Daphnia pulex: one gene and its partner. The protein of the gene in region 1 purifies or fractionates together with the protein of each later gene. This does not show direct contact. Links are inferred from orthologs where the notes say so. Each region holds a gene or a part of one and is shown in the gene's direction. Other genes may lie near its edges.

Evidence for each region. Proteins that work in one complex are often made in the same cells at the same time.
Region 2: the proteins of importin subunit beta-1-like (region 1) and regulator of chromosome condensation-like purify together in Homo sapiens (affinity purification with mass spectrometry; 3 studies listed by BioGRID and IntAct, counting the BioPlex papers as one, with this or other methods). This does not show direct contact. The link is inferred for Daphnia pulex from reciprocal best matches to the Homo sapiens genes KPNB1 and RCC1.

Annotation. Positions count from the first base shown.
Region 1 is NC_060020.1:1,458,846-1,469,243, reverse strand, and holds importin subunit beta-1-like, read left to right. Parts: upstream 1-4,013; 5' UTR 4,014-4,203; coding exon 4,204-4,261; intron 4,262-4,370; coding exon 4,371-4,429; intron 4,430-4,570; coding exon 4,571-4,954; intron 4,955-5,018; coding exon 5,019-5,171; intron 5,172-5,233; coding exon 5,234-5,383; intron 5,384-5,450; coding exon 5,451-5,792; intron 5,793-5,857; coding exon 5,858-6,190; intron 6,191-6,253; coding exon 6,254-6,472; intron 6,473-6,530; coding exon 6,531-7,106; intron 7,107-7,164; coding exon 7,165-7,388; intron 7,389-7,444; coding exon 7,445-7,612; intron 7,613-7,832; coding exon 7,833-7,833; 3' UTR 7,834-9,375; downstream 9,376-10,398. Other genes in the region: D-aspartate oxidase-like, read right to left, coding at 934-1,056, 1,171-1,269, 1,398-1,515, 1,583-1,650, 1,719-1,941, 2,015-2,212, 2,269-2,320, 2,392-2,530; chitin synthase chs-2-like, read left to right, coding at 10,277-10,398.
Region 2 is NC_060019.1:10,920,452-10,929,652, reverse strand, and holds regulator of chromosome condensation-like, read left to right. Parts: upstream 1-5,086; 5' UTR 5,087-5,229; coding exon 5,230-5,244; intron 5,245-5,519; coding exon 5,520-6,022; intron 6,023-6,096; coding exon 6,097-6,302; intron 6,303-6,367; coding exon 6,368-6,559; intron 6,560-6,624; coding exon 6,625-6,809; intron 6,810-6,876; coding exon 6,877-7,246; intron 7,247-7,320; coding exon 7,321-7,434; intron 7,435-7,502; coding exon 7,503-7,661; intron 7,662-7,725; coding exon 7,726-7,961; 3' UTR 7,962-8,346; downstream 8,347-9,201. Other genes in the region: uncharacterized protein LOC124190641, read left to right, coding at 961-1,143, 1,212-1,331, 1,400-1,474; uncharacterized protein LOC124190640, read left to right, coding at 2,257-2,313, 2,381-2,806, 2,875-2,949; protein snakeskin-like, read left to right, coding at 3,997-4,053, 4,119-4,206, 4,267-4,305, 4,375-4,559, 4,635-4,706; phospholipase A2 group XV-like, read right to left, coding at 8,557-8,628, 8,714-8,914, 8,986-9,079, 9,162-9,201. UniProt on the Homo sapiens protein: Guanine-nucleotide releasing factor that promotes the exchange of Ran-bound GDP by GTP, and thereby plays an important role in RAN-mediated functions in nuclear import and mitosis.

The DNA of each region.
Region 1 (10,398 bases):
ATGTCGACTACACACGTTTCTGGTGGCAGATAGGAATGAAGAACAAGAAGAAGAACAAGAGAGACCGTCGACAATGACGTTGGCAGATTTCGAGCCTTGGGGGCCGCCGCCCAAGCTCTATGGCATCGCAATATATTTATATGTATATGTATGGCCCCCAGTCCGTCTCTCTCCCCCCGCAGCATTATACAACATTCTAACTGATAGACACTACACGCAAATGTTTCTTTGACTTCGCACTCTTCTTCTTATTAGACAATGGTCGACAAAAGCTACTCAACAAATAAGGGAGGGGTCCTTGTGGCGTCTCTTTCAACAGCCAGTAAGACACCAACATATGGCGGTGCACCAACAGAGACAACGACATTCCACACAATTCTGTTCTCTCCGCGTTTATAACTCTCACAGTCGTCTCATCCTTTATTTTTATTTTATTTTCTCCTTTGATTTCATTCTGGCTTTTCCATGTTTGTGGACCGCTGGCAATGTGATGTGTGTGTGGGGGCCTCACACGTATAAAACCGTGGATGATATCCTCTTGTCCTGGAAACGCCCCCTCAATAGACGACAGCTTAGACACATGTCTTTCCAATCCATGCAACACACGGGTTATTGTATTCTTTATGTTATTACAGTCAGTTTTACCCCACAAAATCGGCGAACAACAACAAGTGCGGTTCAACTTGACAAATCCATCATTTCTAGAATTATAGCTGGGTGATATCTAATAGATGAAACAACTAACTATTATGTGAAAGGTCCCAGAGTACGTGATGAGGTAATTCGCAGAATGAGCCGGAAAGGGATTGTGATATATCTCGTTCCCCGTGAATTAACCAAACAAAAAGCGAATGACGCAAAGACCAGCACGACGAACCTTTTTTAAAAAATGTGTAGACACCTTTTCTTTTTCTTCTATTGCATGATTATGTATCACAACTTCGAGGCCAAATAATTTTCTGAAGTTAAGGTCCCTTGAAGCAGATTAGCCACCTTCAAGGCGCATCCGTAAAACGTGGTCAGACCCGAGCCTCCGTGCCCGTAATTGTGTATGACCTGCCGAAACAACAACCGTAATGAAGGAAAAAAAAAAAAGAACAATTAAGATGATTCCTAAGCGGTTACAACACATTAGGCAGAGAAATTAGTCAGTAGTAAGGTAGTACGTACAGTCAGAGGTTTGCCGTTGATTGTTTTCTTTTCGAGTTCAACGCGTAGTTGATTGCGACCTGGTCGCAATCCCACCCACTCATATAAAATTTCCGCTTTCTAGACAATGTTCAACGGTACCCGTTAATAACCAAGTTTTTTTTGTTTTTAATAGGCAAATTTAAAGTGGAAAATAGATGGGTACTGCAGGCAAACCCAAAAGGGCTGGCGATTTGCTTTGCGTTTACCTCTAGAGACGGAAACAAGGAAGTACAACCATCCAGGATGAATTTGGCATCTTCTTTTCTTGGAACAATGTCCCACTGATCTTTGTCGTGCGTTCCGCCCAGGACAACACTGTCCTGACTGTCAAGGTAAGAACGCAAAAATTAAAATTGAATTAAAAGAGGGAATCTATGTTAGCGGATAATACTTTGGGATAATATAGTTTCCTTTGTCGCTGTCATCGATTAATATCGATTTTTGCCATGGAGCTTTCACCTGTTGAATAAAGCGACAAGTGTCTTGAAATAAATTCGATGTGTATCTAAATGCAGTGAATTAATTACGCGAAAGATATGTCCCCGGATTGGGTGGACTGATATGTCGTTGACCAATTCTTTGGCTCCTATTCCGGAGCAGTTGATAATGACATCAAAATCGGAAGCAATCTCTTCGAGACTTTCAAGTCGTTTGACTATGACGATGCCATTTTTTGAGCGAAATTCTTCCAGCAGGTGGGGCATTAATTTAGACCCTTCACAAATAAAGGTGACAAAACGGTAGCCTTGCCTGTGATTCAAGATTTAAAAATAAATTTCACTGTGACTCACGATGCAGTAGCAGTATAACAATATTAGCAGACCTCCATTCAGGCTTATTGTACAATGCCAATTCTTCTTTTGTAAGAACTTGAAATCCATAGACGAAATCGCTATACATGGGCACGGGATTTACCGTGTCAGAAGTCTGCAAACATGGCACAAGAGAGACTCCAAGTTTTCCTCCTACAGGAGAGTCCCATAGTTTCTTTAAAAAAATCCATGTATCCTTGGAATAAACACTACAAACAATAGAATTAAAAGTTAAATATAGCTTTAACTTTAGAAAGAAACTTACTAAACATCTTTTTCAGGAGTGTCTCCCAACAAGAAAGGCATCCAAAGTCCAGCTAATAATGTAAACAAAAACAGAAATGTAGTCTTATATTATAAAAAACTTTTGTTGATGAACAAACTATACCTGCCCCATCACTTGTTGTTCCAGGGCTAAATTTGTCGGCAAAAAGGGTAATAGGTAAATTGGGGAATTTCTCTTGAAGTACTGTTGCAACACTCAGGCCAGTCACACCTGCTCCAATCACTGCTACTTTCACAACCATAGTGATTAGTTTAAATACAACACAATATGATGAATACACAAAGTCAATCCAATCGAGATTTTCTGGGTCTTGATCTAATGCGACTGCCTGTTGCTTCAGCAGCAGATGCTTCAGGTTTAGGGTCAGATACAGTTCCCAGCAACTCCCTAACAAACTTGAATCGTGACAAGAAGAATTTCCAAACTAGAAACCAACCTGATTAGAAACACAATAGATTAGAATGTTTTTTAGGTTTAAGCATATGATTAAAAATAAGCATCAAGGACAAAATTTTTATCATGAATTTAAAAAAAGACATAAAGATAACTGTTGTTGATGTTCTTCGCCCATGCATATTAATATTGCGTAAACAACTTACCAATTCCAACAATGCTCAAAACAATAATAACGGAAGCCACCAATCCTAGAATCACGAGTAGTACGTCAGTGACGAAATGGCTCATTTTTATGGAAGTAAAAATACAAAATTTATTTATTCGTTGCCATGTTTAAACACGTAGACAGCAGACAGATTGTGTTATCAAAGTTATTGACTACTGATTTTCTGCAGACAAACAGAGAGCGTTCAGTATGGTTACGTTTTTGCCTTTCTACCTGGTTCCGCGATAGTGGCGGTACCTGTCGTCCTTCAACAACGATACTTAATTTGGATTATTCTTGTAATAAATGTTTTCTATTCGCACGTAGGACAATTTTTCTTTTCATTTTGATGTAAGTTTTTTTACATTTTAATAGTTTGACTATCCTGTCGAATCTATGACGAAATGCTTGGATACAATTCAAGTCAGTACGTGTTGCAGCATTAACGGGCGTCGTCAGCTGAGAATAGGTTGCATTTTAATCATGGTTCACAAGGAACAACGAATTATTCTTCATTTTAGGAACTATAACAATTTATTCGTAAAAGTTAAAGCAGTAGCAATATTTTAAAATATAGAAATCTGCTCTATTGATTCAAATTTCAAATTGGCGCCATCTATTCTGACAGTTACTAACCGAAAAAGCTTCCAATTCCCTGTGGGATTGACGGACTCATAAATATCATAGCAGCCTACAAAAATTATAATTTAGTGAAATTTGACTCTAATTAAGAAACTATGTAGGGCAGTACGCTTTTCTTAACTTCGAAGGATAGCAAGTTGATTATTTTAAAGTTGAAAATCAAATTTCAACTGTAGTGGCAAAATGGCGTTTCCTTAATTCCAATTAATCAAATGCAGTTTTCCCCGGAGAGTTTTCATAATTTTTGGATACTCTTGGTTAAACAATCACATTTTTTCGTAATCACTTTGCCGCCATTTTATGAGAGCGGAAGTTAACTTAACCCTACGCATGGACTACATAGATCCGATTGAAATACTACATTCTTTAACAAAAAGATTCATGATTAGATTTAAAATAATTGAAAAATTTTATTTTTCACAGTACGTCGTTTTAATATATTTTATTTTTGGTCATTAGTTGAATATAAAAAATTCGTGTAATTCTTTTTCAAATAGAGGTCGCTTTTCCTTGAGAAAAACTGGTGGTTTTTTTTTCGCCACATGTGTTCGCCCTTCGCCGGTTGAGACGAACTTAACCGTCTGATTCTTTCACGCCTAGCTATTAACAAGTCCTAGAAGTTTTTTTTACGACTGAAAGATCTGTGATATTTATTAATAAAAGGAGGGAAAATGGTGCCCGAACCAAATATTCAACTAATTCAAATTTTGGAGAAAACTGTATCGTCAGGTTAGTTACTTAAATTTACTTTTTTCTACAACGGCATGGTTACAACGCCATTGATTTTTCCCGAACACTGAATGGTTTTAGTAACTGTCATTCACGTTTTGTCTAACAGAGAAGAATGAATTGGAAGCAGCCCAAAATTATCTTGAACAGGCAGCAAGAGGCAATCTGGTAAGCAACTTTCTTTGTTTCAACCAACTTTTCTCCCATTTTTGTGTTGCTAAGCAAAACTTGTATCAAATGTGGTTTGGCTAGATAAATTTAAAATTCAAACTAAGTCTCTACTTTGCTAAACTTGTACTTCTCACATAGGTTGAGTTCATCAGAGCCTTGTCTGACATTCTTGCCCATGGAGCAAATAGCCCTGTTGCCCGCATGGCAGCTGGTCTGCAGTTGAAAAATTGCTTGACTTCAAAAGATACCGATGTCAAGCTGGAATACCAGCAGAGATGGTTGTCATTCCCACACGATCTAAGGACCTATGTAAAAAAGAACATTTTAGCTGCTTTGGGTACAGAGACCATCCGCCCTAGCTCTGCTGCTCAATGTGTTGCGTACATGGCAGTTGCTGAACTACCAGTCAGTCAGTGGCCAGAATTGATATCTGTACTTGTTGCCAATGTCACTGCAGCTAACAGCACAGAAATGGTTCGGGAAGCCACTCTGGAAACGATTGGATATATTTGCCAGGATATTGTGAGTGATTCAAGTATTACATAATTTGGATGAGAAAATTATAAAATATGTTTTAAAAATGCAGGATGCTGAAGTACTAGCTACTCAGTCGAACGAGATTCTCACTGCTATCGTACATGGCATGAAACGTGAGGAACCAAGCAATCACGTCAGATTGGCTGCCACAACTGCGCTATTGAATTCATTGGAGTTCACTAAAGCTAACTTCGACAAAGAAGTATGTATTTTACTATTTGAATACCTACGTTTGTTATTACTGATCGCTTTCTAATTGTGTAGAGTGAACGGCACTTCATCATGCAAGTTGTGTGTGAAGCAACGCAATCTCCCGACACAAAAGTACGGGTTGCAGCACTTCAATGTCTGGTCAAAATTATGTCCCTATATTACCAATACATGGAGCACTACATGGGGCCAGCACTTTTTGCGGTGAGTTAATCAAACTGACAAAAAAATTTATACAAATTTTAAAGTTTTTACTCATTATTATGAATAGATTACACTGGAAGCGATGAGGTCGGAGATTGATGAAATCGCACTGCAAGGTATTGAGTTCTGGTCGAACGTTTGTGACGAAGAGGTGGATTTGGCTATCGAGGCCAGCGAAGCTGCTGAAATGGGCCGTCCGCCTGAACATACGTCTAAATTCTACGCAAAGGGAGCTCTTCAATATCTAGTTCCTGTGTTGATGCAAACGTTGACTAAACAAGAAGAGTATGATGATGAAGACGATTGGAATCCCTGTAAGGCTGCCGGTGTGTGTCTCATGTTGTTAGCCAACTGCTGTGAAGATGTCATCGTTCCTCACGTCCTTCCTTTCGTCAAGGAGAACATTGAGGTTGGATACAGTTCTTGAAATCACATTTTTGGTACAATAACATTTTCGTTTTTCAACAACTTTAGAATCCAGACTGGCGTTTCCGTGACGCCGCCGTAATGGCTTTTGGTTCTATCCTTGAAGGACCTGATGCTGTTCAGTTAAAACCTATTGTTGAACAAGCTATGCCTTTCCTTTTCAAATTGATGCATGATACAAGCGTTAATGTACGTGACACTGCAGCCTGGACGATTGGACGAGTTTGTGAAATCATCCCCGATGCAGCTGTGGCTCCCCCCAATCTTCAGCCACTGCTTCAGGCTCTCGTTACTGGACTGACTGCTGAGCCTCGTGTCGCTTCTAATGTTTGCTGGGCTTTCTCGAGCCTGGCTGAAGCTGCCTATGAAACTGCTTCACAGGTAACACTGAAAATTTGTAACTACGTTCAAATAAACCTAAATTTATGTTCTTGAGTTGAATAGGCTACCGATGGAAATGAACCAGATTCGTACTGCCTGTCTGAATATTTTGAGCCCATCGTTCAAAAGCTATTGGAAACGACTGATCGGCCTGATGCTGCTCAAGCTAACCTCCGTGCTGCTGCCTATGAAGCTTTGATGGAAATGGTCAAGAACTCGCCCAAAGATTGCTATATTACTGTACAGAAGACCACAATGGTCATCTTGGAGAGATTGCAACAGGTATTATCACTTACTCTAAAGCATGTTTTGGCATTGTAAAACGGATAAATTTTTTTAGGTTCTTAACATGGAATCCCACGTGTCGTCGCATTCGGATAGAGTCCAATACAACGATCTTCAGTCGCTGCTCTGCGCCACATTACAGAGCGTGCTTCGTAAAGTCACCCCAGAAGATGCTCCCAAGATCTCTGACCCGATCATGGCGGCCTTGCTGCAGATGTTCAATTCGAGCGCTGGGCCAAATCGTGCTGGTGGTGTTCAGGAAGATGCGTTGATGGCAGTGGCAACATTGACGGAAGTCCTTGGCGAAGGATTCATCAAGTACATGGAAGCCTTCCGTCCCTACCTTATCATGGGATTGAGAAACCACGCCGAGACTACCATCTGCCAGGCGTCCGTCGGACTGGTTGGCGACATTTGCCGAGCTCTAGGCGCCAAGATCTTGCCTTTTTGTGATTCAATCATGTCGCTTCTATTGGAGACCCTTGGCAACAACGAAGTTGATAGAAAAGTCAAACCCCAGATTTTGGCTGTATTCGGAGATATGGCTTTGGCAATCGGCCCAGAATTCAAGAAGTATCTTGAATTGGTTATTGGCATGCTGCACCAAGCATCTCAAGCCCAAGTCAACCGAGTAATTACAATTTCGTTTAATTTGAAAGTGTTTGGTTTTAATGTTTGGTTATTTGCAGAATGATTTTGATATCATGGATTATTTGAATGAACTGCGCGAATGCTGCCTTGAAGCATACACTGGAATTGTTCAGGGTCTCAAAGGGGAAGACAAAGAAACTATTGGAAATGATGTCCAGCTTATACTTCCACATGTTCCCCACATGATAAACTTCATCACTACGATTGCGAGAGACCGGGAGAAATCAGATGGCACCATTTCTGCCGCCGCTGGTCTTATTGGGTACAGGATCATTTTTTATTTAGCTAGTACTTGTATTTAATATAATTCTCTCTCAGCGATCTTTGCTCTGCCTTTGGACATCAATTGCTGCCTTTCGTTGACACTGAACCAATCACCGACATGCTGACTATTGGACGACGATCTAAAACGGGAAAGACAAAGACTCTGTCTAACTGGGCCACGAAGGAAATCCGCCGACTGAAGGCCACCGTTACTTCGAGTTGGTGAGTGTTTTAGCTGCTAGTTTTTTTAAATATTAAAATCAGAGGAACGCAAAATTCTTTATTATTTTTCTACTTAAAATACCTTACTTTATTTTAAAAGATTAAGTTTACTTTATTTTAGGTTAGGTACGTACAGTATGTTAAATATTGGTTGTAAGGTTGATTGAGAGTGAAAGAGTATGGATATGAATGCGATTCTTTGTCTTATTATCTGTTACAGATTGGCCAAATGATTGGTACGCATGCGCGTGAGGCAAAAGAGAAAAACGTGAACATTTGATGATGAAGCGTGAGTGGTGGATGAAAGTGAATCGGACTTTGCCTACTAGTATCTCTTTTCAAAACTTATTCCTCACTTCAGTACACATTCACGCAGTCTTCCATCCTCTTATCTCTTCTGTCTTTCCTTCTTTTTTTACGGATACCATCGCACCAACTATTCCTCCTTGCCAGCACTTGTTTGCCCTTCCATTTCAGTCTTAATTTTTCCCTTCACTTTTCATTTATTTTGGTTGAACGCTGTACGAATGTCCGAACGGATGTATGAGAGAGTGTGTGTATGTATGTATCCATGATGTTTGTATGTGTGTGAATGGGACGTTGTCGGCCAATTGATCTATTTGGAAAGGATGTGAGAAAATGAGACGAAATAGTTGTTTGATTGAAAGGGAAAAAAGCGAGTAAATGGGTGAGCGAAAAGGAATCTTGCACTCAAGGACATCCTAGTGTCAAACCTGTTCTGTCAACTTCTTTCCTAAACCCCTTTCTATCTAGTTAAGGTTTTCCTCTTAATCCAAGAAAAAAGGGAAGGGCTTGCACATTTAGCTTAATCAACGACTGATAACGAGAAAAACGACTTTATACTGACTACATTCTGTGTGTGTGTGTGTGTGTGTGTATGTGTGAACGTGCGTGTGTATTTTGGAGGTTTCTTGAGGCAAGTCAAGAAACTTAAAGGTTCCCCCGACTAACATTGGGAAAGATATCAGCTACTGAAAGGGATTATGTGTGCTTCTCGGTACCATTCCAATTAATTGCTAATCAATATCTTCCATGTCCCAAGTTAGTCTTAAAAATCTTTATTTTTTATTTGTTTTAAAATCTGTCAACAAATTCAGAAATTCTAATGGGAATTAGGTTTCGCTCGATTGGTTGAGTCATTCGCTTTGTAAATGAGAATACCAAGTACCTTGAGAAAATAGTCGTCGTTTAAGAAAGGACGAATAGGTAGATATTTTGAAATGACTAAATATCTGATATTTGGTTGGCTGTGGGGGGAACAGGTGGTGTGATTGTGAGTTTGCTTAATTATACGAAAAGTACAAGGGTGGTTTATATGTAATGAAAGCAAAGTGTGTGAATGGATCTTCTCCGGTGTATCTGAAACTGTGTAAATGTGACGGACATTACTTCTTAACGTGACTAATAAATGTGCGAAGTGCGGGCCCTTAAAAACACAAAATTTACTCGCCTTCATTACGGTATTTTAACACGATCGAGTTATGATGAAGCAATCAAAGAGACGGGACATTCCTTTCCCTTTCAAAAAATGACTTAATCGGTTTTGAATCAATCTTCTTTACTTCGGTTTGTATGATATTTTAAATTTGAATGCTCAATTACTGGGAATCGTTATCCCTATTTTCAGTGGAAAAAATGTGTTGATGCCTGCCATTTTTTCACTCTAAACCAATGTTGATTTTGTCGAGAGTAAATGTGATTTACTTCTTGTCATTTCTAAAATAAATATATTCAAGTTGTGATTTTCGGTCTAATTTTTTTTTTACAGGTTTCAAAAGAAAAACCTTAACGTTTCACACGATTGATTAATGAAGCTTTAGATTTTGTGGTTGTTAAATCAGTTATCCAAATAGTTAATGGTGAAAAGTTTTTGTAACCAGGAAGTAGAGGTAGCTGGCAGCAGTTAAGCCAGCATCGGTCGACTTACGGTAAAGGTGTGTAAATATATCAAACAATTTAATACACACCTCTGTGCTATGTTAGATTTTACCGTGCTGGAATCCGCTGGACTGTTATGCATTGTTAAGGACGAAAAAGCCGTATTTTTTTAAGAAAAAGGGCATCATCTTTTTTCCCGTCTCGGTCTCAGCGTCGCCTACAAACACGTGAGTATAGGGCATAGGCATGGCCAGCTGGAGTAGCCCGAAGGCCGTATGTACCGTACAGTTATTCATATCCCGGAAAACTGTACAAGAAAATTTTGGCCTTCGTTCACAATCGCGAACTTTGTGGAAAAAGTGTGTCGATCACATAACACATTTCTTTTATCTTCTCCATTTTATTCTTTCATTTGTGGAGTAATCATCTATGTTCAAAGTGAATTTTTCTTTTAAATGGTCCAGTGAATGTTATTAGAGGATGTTATGCGGACCTGCAGTTAACCCAGAAAATACCCCCAAAGGAAACGGATTCCAACATGTGTATAGCATAAAAATACCGTATGAGATAATAATCTAAGCCAGAGTAGGAAATTAGAAGGTCGGAGATGATGGTCGTCCACTCCATTTCATTTGGGAAATGGCACCTGAACAAGGAAACCGAGTAGGAATTAAGCAGAAATAGAAAGGATTTTGGTTGACGGTTTTCCCTGCTTGGGGAGTAGCAAAAGAATGAGAGAATGGAGGAGGGTGGAAGTATATATTCATGGTTATAACATTCATGGCTGTTTGCCCGATTCCCTTACCTGACGGGTTCTCTTACCTGTTGAGCCTCTTCTCCTTTATCATCTCTTACTCTTTCTCCTTCTTTTCTTCCTCCGGTTTCCT
Region 2 (9,201 bases), on another chromosome or scaffold:
CTTTGATATGAAGGGTCCGACGATGGGTTTCCTGCGTGAGAGGCACACGAAAAAAAAAATAAAAACTATAGAAGACGACGACGACATAGTTGAGAACAGGTACAGGCTAGATTTCTAACAAGGACTTGAACGCGATATCAAATGAGGAAACGCGTGAGTCGCATGGGCAAAAGACAATCCAGCAACAAATGAAAAGACAAAATTTCCTTTTTGAACACAATTTTCAAGCCGAGCATTGTAACGATTCCGACACGCAATCGAGGGGAAATGTGTACGTATAGAAATAATTTGTGTGTCACGGACCGCAAACGCCGAATGGGGGCCACAGCGTCGGTTCCGGTCCCCCCCTCCACAATAACAAGGAAAAAAAAGAAAAAAATTCCGTCATTCAAAACCTGATGGACGGGACAACAGAATTCCCGGAAGTGATAACTTGCACAAAAGGATAAAAAATGTTGATTGAAAAAATATGAGGAAAGTAACGAGATTTTTAATCGTGTTTTATATTCATCCCGTCGTTGTTTTCCCGCAACATTGTTATGGATAGATTTGTATGTATACCACCTGTCACGGAGGTAACAGCCATTCTTGCATTAACGTCAATATTACCTTTTGTACTTTTTTTACGACGTCTGCATTTAAAATTCAAACATCAAAAGTTATAAGCGCATTAAACAATCGATAATCCAATCTCCGAGATAGACTCGGCAGGGTTAAAAATATAAAGAAACTGATGATAAAGAAATGATTGTTTTGGGTAGTATATCTCTTCCCCCTGCGGTTATTATTACCCTCCACCATGAAATACTATAGTGTATTGGATTATTTGACAGTCAAAGGCGGGACTGACTCTCTCGGTCGTGTTCTTTTTAGACAATTTCCCCTCCAACTCTTATGTCTGAAGCGTGTAATCTTATTGTCTTTTTTCTCTTCCCCCTCCGGTACCGCGCTCGTATATAGTTGCTGGCCATCATTTGCATCGCCCTGTTGCGCTATTACAATTTATCCTTCGGCGGAGAACTCAACCAGGCCTCCTATCACGATCGTTACCTCTTCGGTGTCATGACCATCGGTGGTATGCTGCTCGTAACCATTCCCATCTTCGTGGCCCACCTTTTCGGATCGGAAATTCGACCAGGATTGGTATGTTATAGGCACTCATTTTTACTTCATTATATCATGATTGACACCACTAATGACTTGATGAATAGGATTTGATTTACTCGCTGATGGGATTCGTCCTCTTTCTGACGGCCGGAATCCTCTCGCTTGAATTTTACGTCATCTACCGCAATCGGCCAGGCAATTTGAATGCGGGGCGATCGCTCGGGGTATAATTTTTCACCTAAAACTTTGCTTTTTAGTTAAATTTGTATTTAATTTCTCCTTTTTTACACAGTCGATGCTCATCATCAATTCATTCTTCTTTCTGCTCAACACAATCGTTTCTCTGGTTCGAATTTTCCTCAAGTAATTCGGCAGTTTCATCTCAACTCTGAAGCACAAAAACAAGGAAAACCAAATTTTCAACACAAAATCCAATCAGACAAAATTAGTTTAATATTTTATCTAGAAATTTTCTTAGATGTTTCCAACTCTTCATTTCGAAAGGGTTGGGCAACGAATTTTGTTGTGTACCATATTTTTTCTGTTGAGCCACCACCATGCAAATCACACACACCAAACTTGTAACCAATATCACACAATATTTCTTATTAGCTCTATTTAGAGATGATGCCCTTCTATACTATTTTAAAAAAATGAAGTTGTAATAACGTCCTATCCGACTGCCGATACCGGTGCTCTAATTTATCAAGAAAATTGGCACTGCAACCAAAATCTCAATTGTGTAGAGTCTGAAATTAAGTAGATGACGTTCTGTTGACGTGTGGAAACAACGGCATCAAATACAAAAGTATCTCATTTTTATTGGACGATTCGCGAACGCTTTGATAGAGATAACGGCCCACAAAATAATGATGAGTCGTCTTCAATTCGTAGTAGATGAGATTCACAATAATGCGGAAAAAAATATTTCCAAGTAAAAAATATGACAGGGAGGGTGAAGGGCTGGTTGTCGAACAAACGTTTTGGGTAAAGGCCATCCCCTTTGGCGAAATAACAAGGAGCAACTGGCCAGCATAAAAGATGCAGTGACGGACATCATCTTTACTAGTCATTGCCCGACTGCAGTAAAAGGAATACAGTTTGACATCTTTCCTCAAAAGTAAAACAATTTCATCAAATCATCCGACAATGGCCGACTTCAGACTTTTGGCTCGCACTCACGGCTTCATGAAGCTGGCTGAAATTGTAAGAAAATCATTTTAATCAATTTTTATTGAATTAAAATTACTCATTTTGTTTTTTGAAACTTAAGATTATTGCTATTGTCTGCCTGATCCTGATCCGCACGTACTCGTTAAATTTCGGCGGTGACGTCACAACGGGATCGTTCCACGATCGCTACAATGTCGGATTGGTCACGGTGGGCGGTATGCTGCTAGTGTCTCTGCCGCTGCTCATTTCCTACCTGTGGAGCACTTCGGGAACTTACCAGCCGTTCCTCGAGATCATCTACAACACTTTGGGTTTCATCCTCTTCTTGACTGTTGGATCGCTGGCCTTGGATCATTACCGCAACTACGCCGGAGTGACTCACACCGGAAACGACAACAGGGGAGACACCAATCCCAACAACAACTGGCTCGGAACTAACAACTCGACATGGGCCGATTCCGGAATCGGTAAAGCCTTCGGCTTCGGCAACAACACCGAAAATGCTAATGCTGGAAAAGCTCTCGGGGTATTTAAAACAAACATTAGTCTTTAGAATTTTAAATTATTCATGTCGTTTTAATGAATTGTTTATAGGCTCTTTGCATCATCAACGCTTTCTTCTATTTGACCGATGCTGCCTTGGCACTCCGACAAGGTTCCACCGTCTGAACGAGCTGCTGCGTTATCCTCATTCAATCACGAGAAATTCACATTTGCTCGTGAAAATGAATTTTCAAGAATAGCTCGTCAAACTTCCTTATATAACAAATTTATTGTTTTTTTTTCCTACATGTGAATTTAGAATTTTCTACCGTGTACGTTTTATGTTTGTTCTTAAAAAATAAATATATGACGTCATGGATAGTACAATAACGAACCGTGTTGGGAAAATTATTTGGCAACGTTTCAATAAGGATGGTGGGAAAAATATGTCCCACGTATTATGTGGGAAAGTGGCCATGGATGGATGAATTGTTTACGCATCAGTGGGTCAATAATGAACGATGTGCTTTATAGTTGTCGCCTTCCACGTGAACAAATTATACCCGAATACTTTTGAGTTAAAAGAAATTGCCATAATAATCCAAAAGTGATGTTTTTATCCGGAATCTTTTATTCTCACCTATAAAATGTGAATTATAACATTTTTAGAGGAGCGACCGCAATTTCGTCTGCGGTCGTTTCGTTCATTCGTCGAGTGTGTTGTATGCATTCGACCGATATGAGAATTATTGTTCATCCCACACACACGCGACGCTATTTTTCTTCTTTAACGGCCGCAATCACCGTGGCGTCCGTCAACCGCATCCATCCATTCTGGACACTGAAAAGGTTTTCCATTTCACGCATAAGTAACGAATAATGTTCTCTAACGTGTTACACGCCGCTGCTTCTAATGCGCATAACTCACAGCACTTTAAAAGAAAATTGTTTTCAACTTGTTACGTAATCGGAAATTCAACAGAAAAGTTAAGTTCCGAATTTATGAATAATTCCCTTGGGAGAGAAAGTCTTTTTCTATTTGCGTCGTCGGCTCAAATGCGAATCGTTAGTAAAACGCCTGGGAAATTCCGTTGAACTCGACTAGGGGAAAACCGAGGAAGAAGAACGTTGATCGAGATACAACCAATAAAACATTTGCAAGTTGAAGCGCATCTTTCCATCATTCCACATCCAGCAACCGAAGAAACGACAGCCAAAAAATAATTAAAGAAAATGTCCGATACACGTGCACTGGCCCATGCTCGAGGAGCGATGAAAATTGCCGAAGTGGTAAGTGTGAATTATTTCCAGTCTTTTGTATTTAATGTGTGTTTATATGTACGTTCTTTTGTCAGGCTTTAGCTGTTGTTTGCCTGGTCGTTTATCGTCACTACAAACTCAGTTTTGGCGGAACTGATTCGGCAGCCGCAGATCGTTACATCGGTAATAATTCTTCCTGTTTCACAAGAGTAAAAATTTAATGTTTTATTTTGAATTTTTCAGTTGGAATAGTTACATTCGGAGGGATGCTACTCGTCTCTGGTATGCATTCAAAAAAGTGTTGAAATATTTATTGGATTCAATTTGCATAATCTTTATGTGTGTGCACAGGGCCTTTACTTCTCGCTTACATTCGCTCGCCGGCCGGCATTGTGAATTACTACACACCTTTCCTCGAAGTTATTTATAACGTTATCGGCTTTGTGCTGTTCTTAACGGTCGGAGGTTTGGTGTTGGAGCACTACAAAGGACATTTAAAACCTCTGACAGGCAACGAGCCTGGAGTCGCCCTTGGGGTAACGCACACAACTTTTAAATATATTTCTTTGGTGTGTATCTAATAAAAAAAAAACATTTTTATTATTATACAGGCGATTTGCTTAATCAATTCCGTTATTTACTTGATCGATGCTTCCCTGGCTATCAAGCAAGGACTTGAATAATGCGACAAGTTACGTAACCGGAAGAAGCCAAATGAATTTTTTTTTACTTATCCGATGCAGATTAATGAATGATAATGTTGAAGGATGAATACAGAATTACAGATTTACTACTTGATATTTTCCAATGCTTTGTTTAAAAGAAAAATAAAATAAAATAATCGCATACGAATTGTGAAAAAAACAAAATAAACAAAATTCTATGAAATCTACGATCATGTGACGATTTAACCTCGAGATAAAACCGTTAAAAATAAACATGGGATTTTGAATTTTGAATGGTTGGCTACGTGCGATCTAAAATATCGATAGCAAAAATATTTGAAAACGGCGAAAGTGAAGCGGGAAAATATGGCAACTCTGCCTGACCCGCGTGTTCAAGCGCCCCCTAGACTTTTCAATCTTTTTTTCTGACTAGTTCCGACTCTCGAACCAAAAGTGCTCTATCGGTGACATTCATTCATCGTCAGTCGTATTCCCGCCAAGTTATATTTCGTTTTGTCACGTGAAATAATATCAAATAAAAATGGTTAAACGGAAGGTATGTATATTTTTTGCATTATTAAGTGTTTGTTGGAAATAATAGCAGGGGCTCGATAGTGTGTAGATGCCGGTATTGTGTTGTCCACATGAAACCGTTAGCATTGTTGAGCTTCGACATACCTTTGGGAAAACATTTTCACAACTAGCTTTGGGTTTTTTAGAAACTAACTGTTGATCTTAATTTTTTTATGTATGATTTTTGGAAATATGCCATGTATGTGTTTTTGACATTTCCACAAAAGTATATTCTTAAATTTGTATTTTTCTTTTTAGGTTGCTGAAGTTGAAGACAAACCTGTGGAAGCAGCCAAGCCAGCAGCAAAGGCAGCTGCCAAACCCGCTGGAAAGCCAAAGGCAGCCCCCAAGAAAGCCAAAGTTGCCGCTAGTCCAGACCAAAGCCCTGTGAAAAAAGTTACAGAGAAAGCAGTGAAACCAGCCAAGGATGTACCAGCTGCTGAACCTGCTAAACCAAAAGCAGCACCAAAAAAAGCAGCACCAAAAGTAGCTAAAGCATCACCCAAAGTAGCTAAAGCAGCACCCAAAGCAGCTAAAGCAGCACCCAAAGCAGCGCCAGCTGCTTCCAAAAGTAAAGCAAAGAAAACAGAAGAATCGGAAGATGAGGCACCACCACCACCAAAGGCTAAACGGGTTGCCAAAACAGTTGCCAAAGAAACAACAGCAGTCACAAAAGTAGTGAAGGTTCCAAAGCCCAAACCTTCACCAGTCAAGGCCAGGAAAGATCTAACAGGCAAAGCACCTATCTCTAAAGTTCCCAAGTAAATCATGTTGACTGCTGTCTTTAAACATTTAAAATCCTTTTACTAAATATTTTTTGAATATTTGTATCTAGAGTGGCCACACCAGAAAAGAAAAAGGCTGCTGCTACTAAAGCAAAGAAGGCATCGTCAACCTCTGAAGTGGAATCCTCATCTGAAGAAAGCCCTGCAGAAGATGTCAAAGAGAAAAAAGATACTGGCAAAAAGAAAGCAGAGATTGCTGAAACTAGAAAGCGAACAAAGGCTGTCAAAGAAGTTGTAGCTTCTAAGAAACCTAAAAGTATGGAAAATAATTAAAAAACCTGATTTATTTGGAACATTTCAGTAACCAGCATTCATTTCTAGTTGAAATAGTTGTCCCATTCCGACACACACGAGGAACCGGCATGGTTCTCTCCATGGGCCAAGGGGACGTAGGCCAACTTGGATTAGGTCCTGATGTTTTGGAGAAGAGTCGACCTGCATTAGTGGATAAAGTCAAAGACGTAATAGATGTAATTGCCGGTGGTATGCACACGGTCTGCCTTACTAGTAAAGGTTAGTTTACAATTTATTCGTATTTTTCTAGGAGAAACAGTCTAATTTTATGATTTTATTTTCAGGTGAAATTTACACTTTTGGGTGTAATGATGAAGGAGCCTTAGGCCGTGACACTAGCGAAGAAGGAAGTGAATTTGAACCTGGACTAGTCAAATTGCCCGGCAAAGCCACGTTAATATCGGCGGGAGATTCGCACACTGCTGCTTTACTAGAAGATGGACGTTGTTTTATCTGGGGCACATTCCGCGTAATATACATTCTCTTTATGCCATATGGAATTTTTCAACTTAACCAAATTTTTGTGTTGATGACAGGATTCTCACGGGCCTATGGGATTGAACGAATCTGGTTCGCAGAAGTTACCAGTTCCTATTCTGGAGGGCATCCCCATGACACAAATCGCTTCTGGTGCCGACCATCTAGTATGTCTTACTTCCGACGGACAGGTTTATACTTGTGGTTGCGCCGAACAGGGCCAGTTGGGTCGCGTTGCTGAAGTTTTCTCCAATCGAGGAGGTCGAAAAGGCAAAAGTTATCTACTCACTCCACAGCCGGTCGCGTTGGGAAAGGGCAAGAGGCGGATTGTTATCGATAATGTTTGGACAGGATCTTATGCCACATTTGCCCGTGCTAAAGAAACTGGCCTCATTTATGTCTTTGGTCTGAACAACTACAATCAACTTGGTACTTAGCAAACAAAGCCTTTTTTATTCTTTTGAGTGTGACTGATAATCTCCTGTTTTCCCCTAAAAAAATAGGATTACCAAGCCAAGACGCTCGTTTCCAACCTGAAGTTTCCGATGGGTTCAAGGGTCATCGTTGGCTGAGCATTTCCTGTGGCCAGCATCACACACTTGCCTTGGACGAGAATGGTAAAGAGAAAATTTACAGAGTTTTTTTAAAACCTTTTTAATCTTCAACTCCTTTTTATTTTTTACAGGTCAGGTATACAGTCTTGGCCGAAAGGAATACGGACGATTGGGTATGGGTGCTGATGCCAAGGACTTAGCGATCCCCACGCCAATCCCTGCTCTTCAATCACAGAAATGTGTCGAAGTGACTGCTGGTGAATCTGTTTCTTTGGCTGTCACAGAATCTGGTAAGATAAACTTTTTAAATTCTTGAAATTAAGCCGTGTTCTGAATTGTTGTATTGTGTTTTAGGAATGGCATTTTCCTGGGGTATGGGCACGAATGGCCAGCTCGGTCTCGGTCATGAAGATGATGTGTTGGAGCCGACGACTATTAAGGGCAAGGCGTTAGAGAACCGACTGGTCCTTTTGGCCTCTGCAGGTGGTCAACATACTGTTTTGCTAGCTGCCGACAAGTCCTCAACTACGACAGCCTCCACTGCTCCGCCGGCTCAACCCGCTGCTGTAACTGTAAATGCGGCTGACTGATAGATAGACTAGGTCCCATTCCGTATCGTTTAAAACCTCAAACCGATGTGTTCATCCCCTACCCGTTCACTTCCAATTTAAATGGACTTGAATACCGCTTTATCGGGTGGTTTTTCTCTTGCAGTTAGTTTTCAATGGTTCTAACCCCTTTGTTTTTTAAATCCAACCCATCCTGATAGGACGCGTTGGGTAAAAGGGAGACAAACAATTAAACAGTTGAGTAGCATTTTGTGTCACGCGATACGGCGTAGTCCTCACACCCCTCATCCCCAATTTTAATTTTAGGAACCTATTTTGTCATCCACTCTTAACCTCACATGCACACTCCTCAGAAGAATTAACACGAATGAGATGGAAATAAATAGCGAAGAATTTCATTTTCAAATCAATTGTATTTTATCTAAGTATATAGCTTAGGCTGTGGGTTAGGTTCAATAAATGAATGTACAATTTATATTACTACTCTTAGAATGACACGATACGTGTTGTAAATGAGATGTCGAATTTTACCAAATCAAGAATGGGTATCACGTTTTACAAGGAGAAAACTTTAGTTGAGTTATTAACGAAAGTAAAAGGTAATATGCAAACCGGTTCAATTCTCGTCTACCTCATTTTGTGGGTTAATGGCAACAACTCGCTGAATGTAATCTAATATGACTGGATCCTGTCGTGTATGTTAAAAAAAAAAAAAAGAAATTAATAATGAGAATAGGTCACGACCGGAATAAACGTAATGGAGGAATAATTACATAGAGTACAGCCATGTGGTCTCTTTTCGGAAATGCTTGGACGTAGACGGGTTGTGACTGCTCCTTGGTCCATTTACTACAGGCAGCAAGACTGCGAACATTGACAGTGCCATCGCCATCTCCCATAATGATAGTGGCTTTACCAAGTGGTGTTGACTTACTGTAGACTAGACGCTCAGCTGTATCTACACCCGTTCCGAACTGCACAAAAAATAAACAAACGAATGAAGATGAATGAGGGGGTAGATAAAACTGCTATCAAGTGAACATACTATGCAATGGATCTCTACGCCTGGTGCTGTCAAATCGTGCACCAAAGGATGCGTGTCCTGCCACATATCATATCCGAGCGGGAAATCAATATCTCTGAATGAGGGAGACGAACAAACAAAACATCTTTCTCTCAAAAGAGGAATTCAAAAGCATTATATAACCATGGGTATCTTACAGGAAGAAGTCTTGATAATCTTGAATAGTGTAATTCCGAC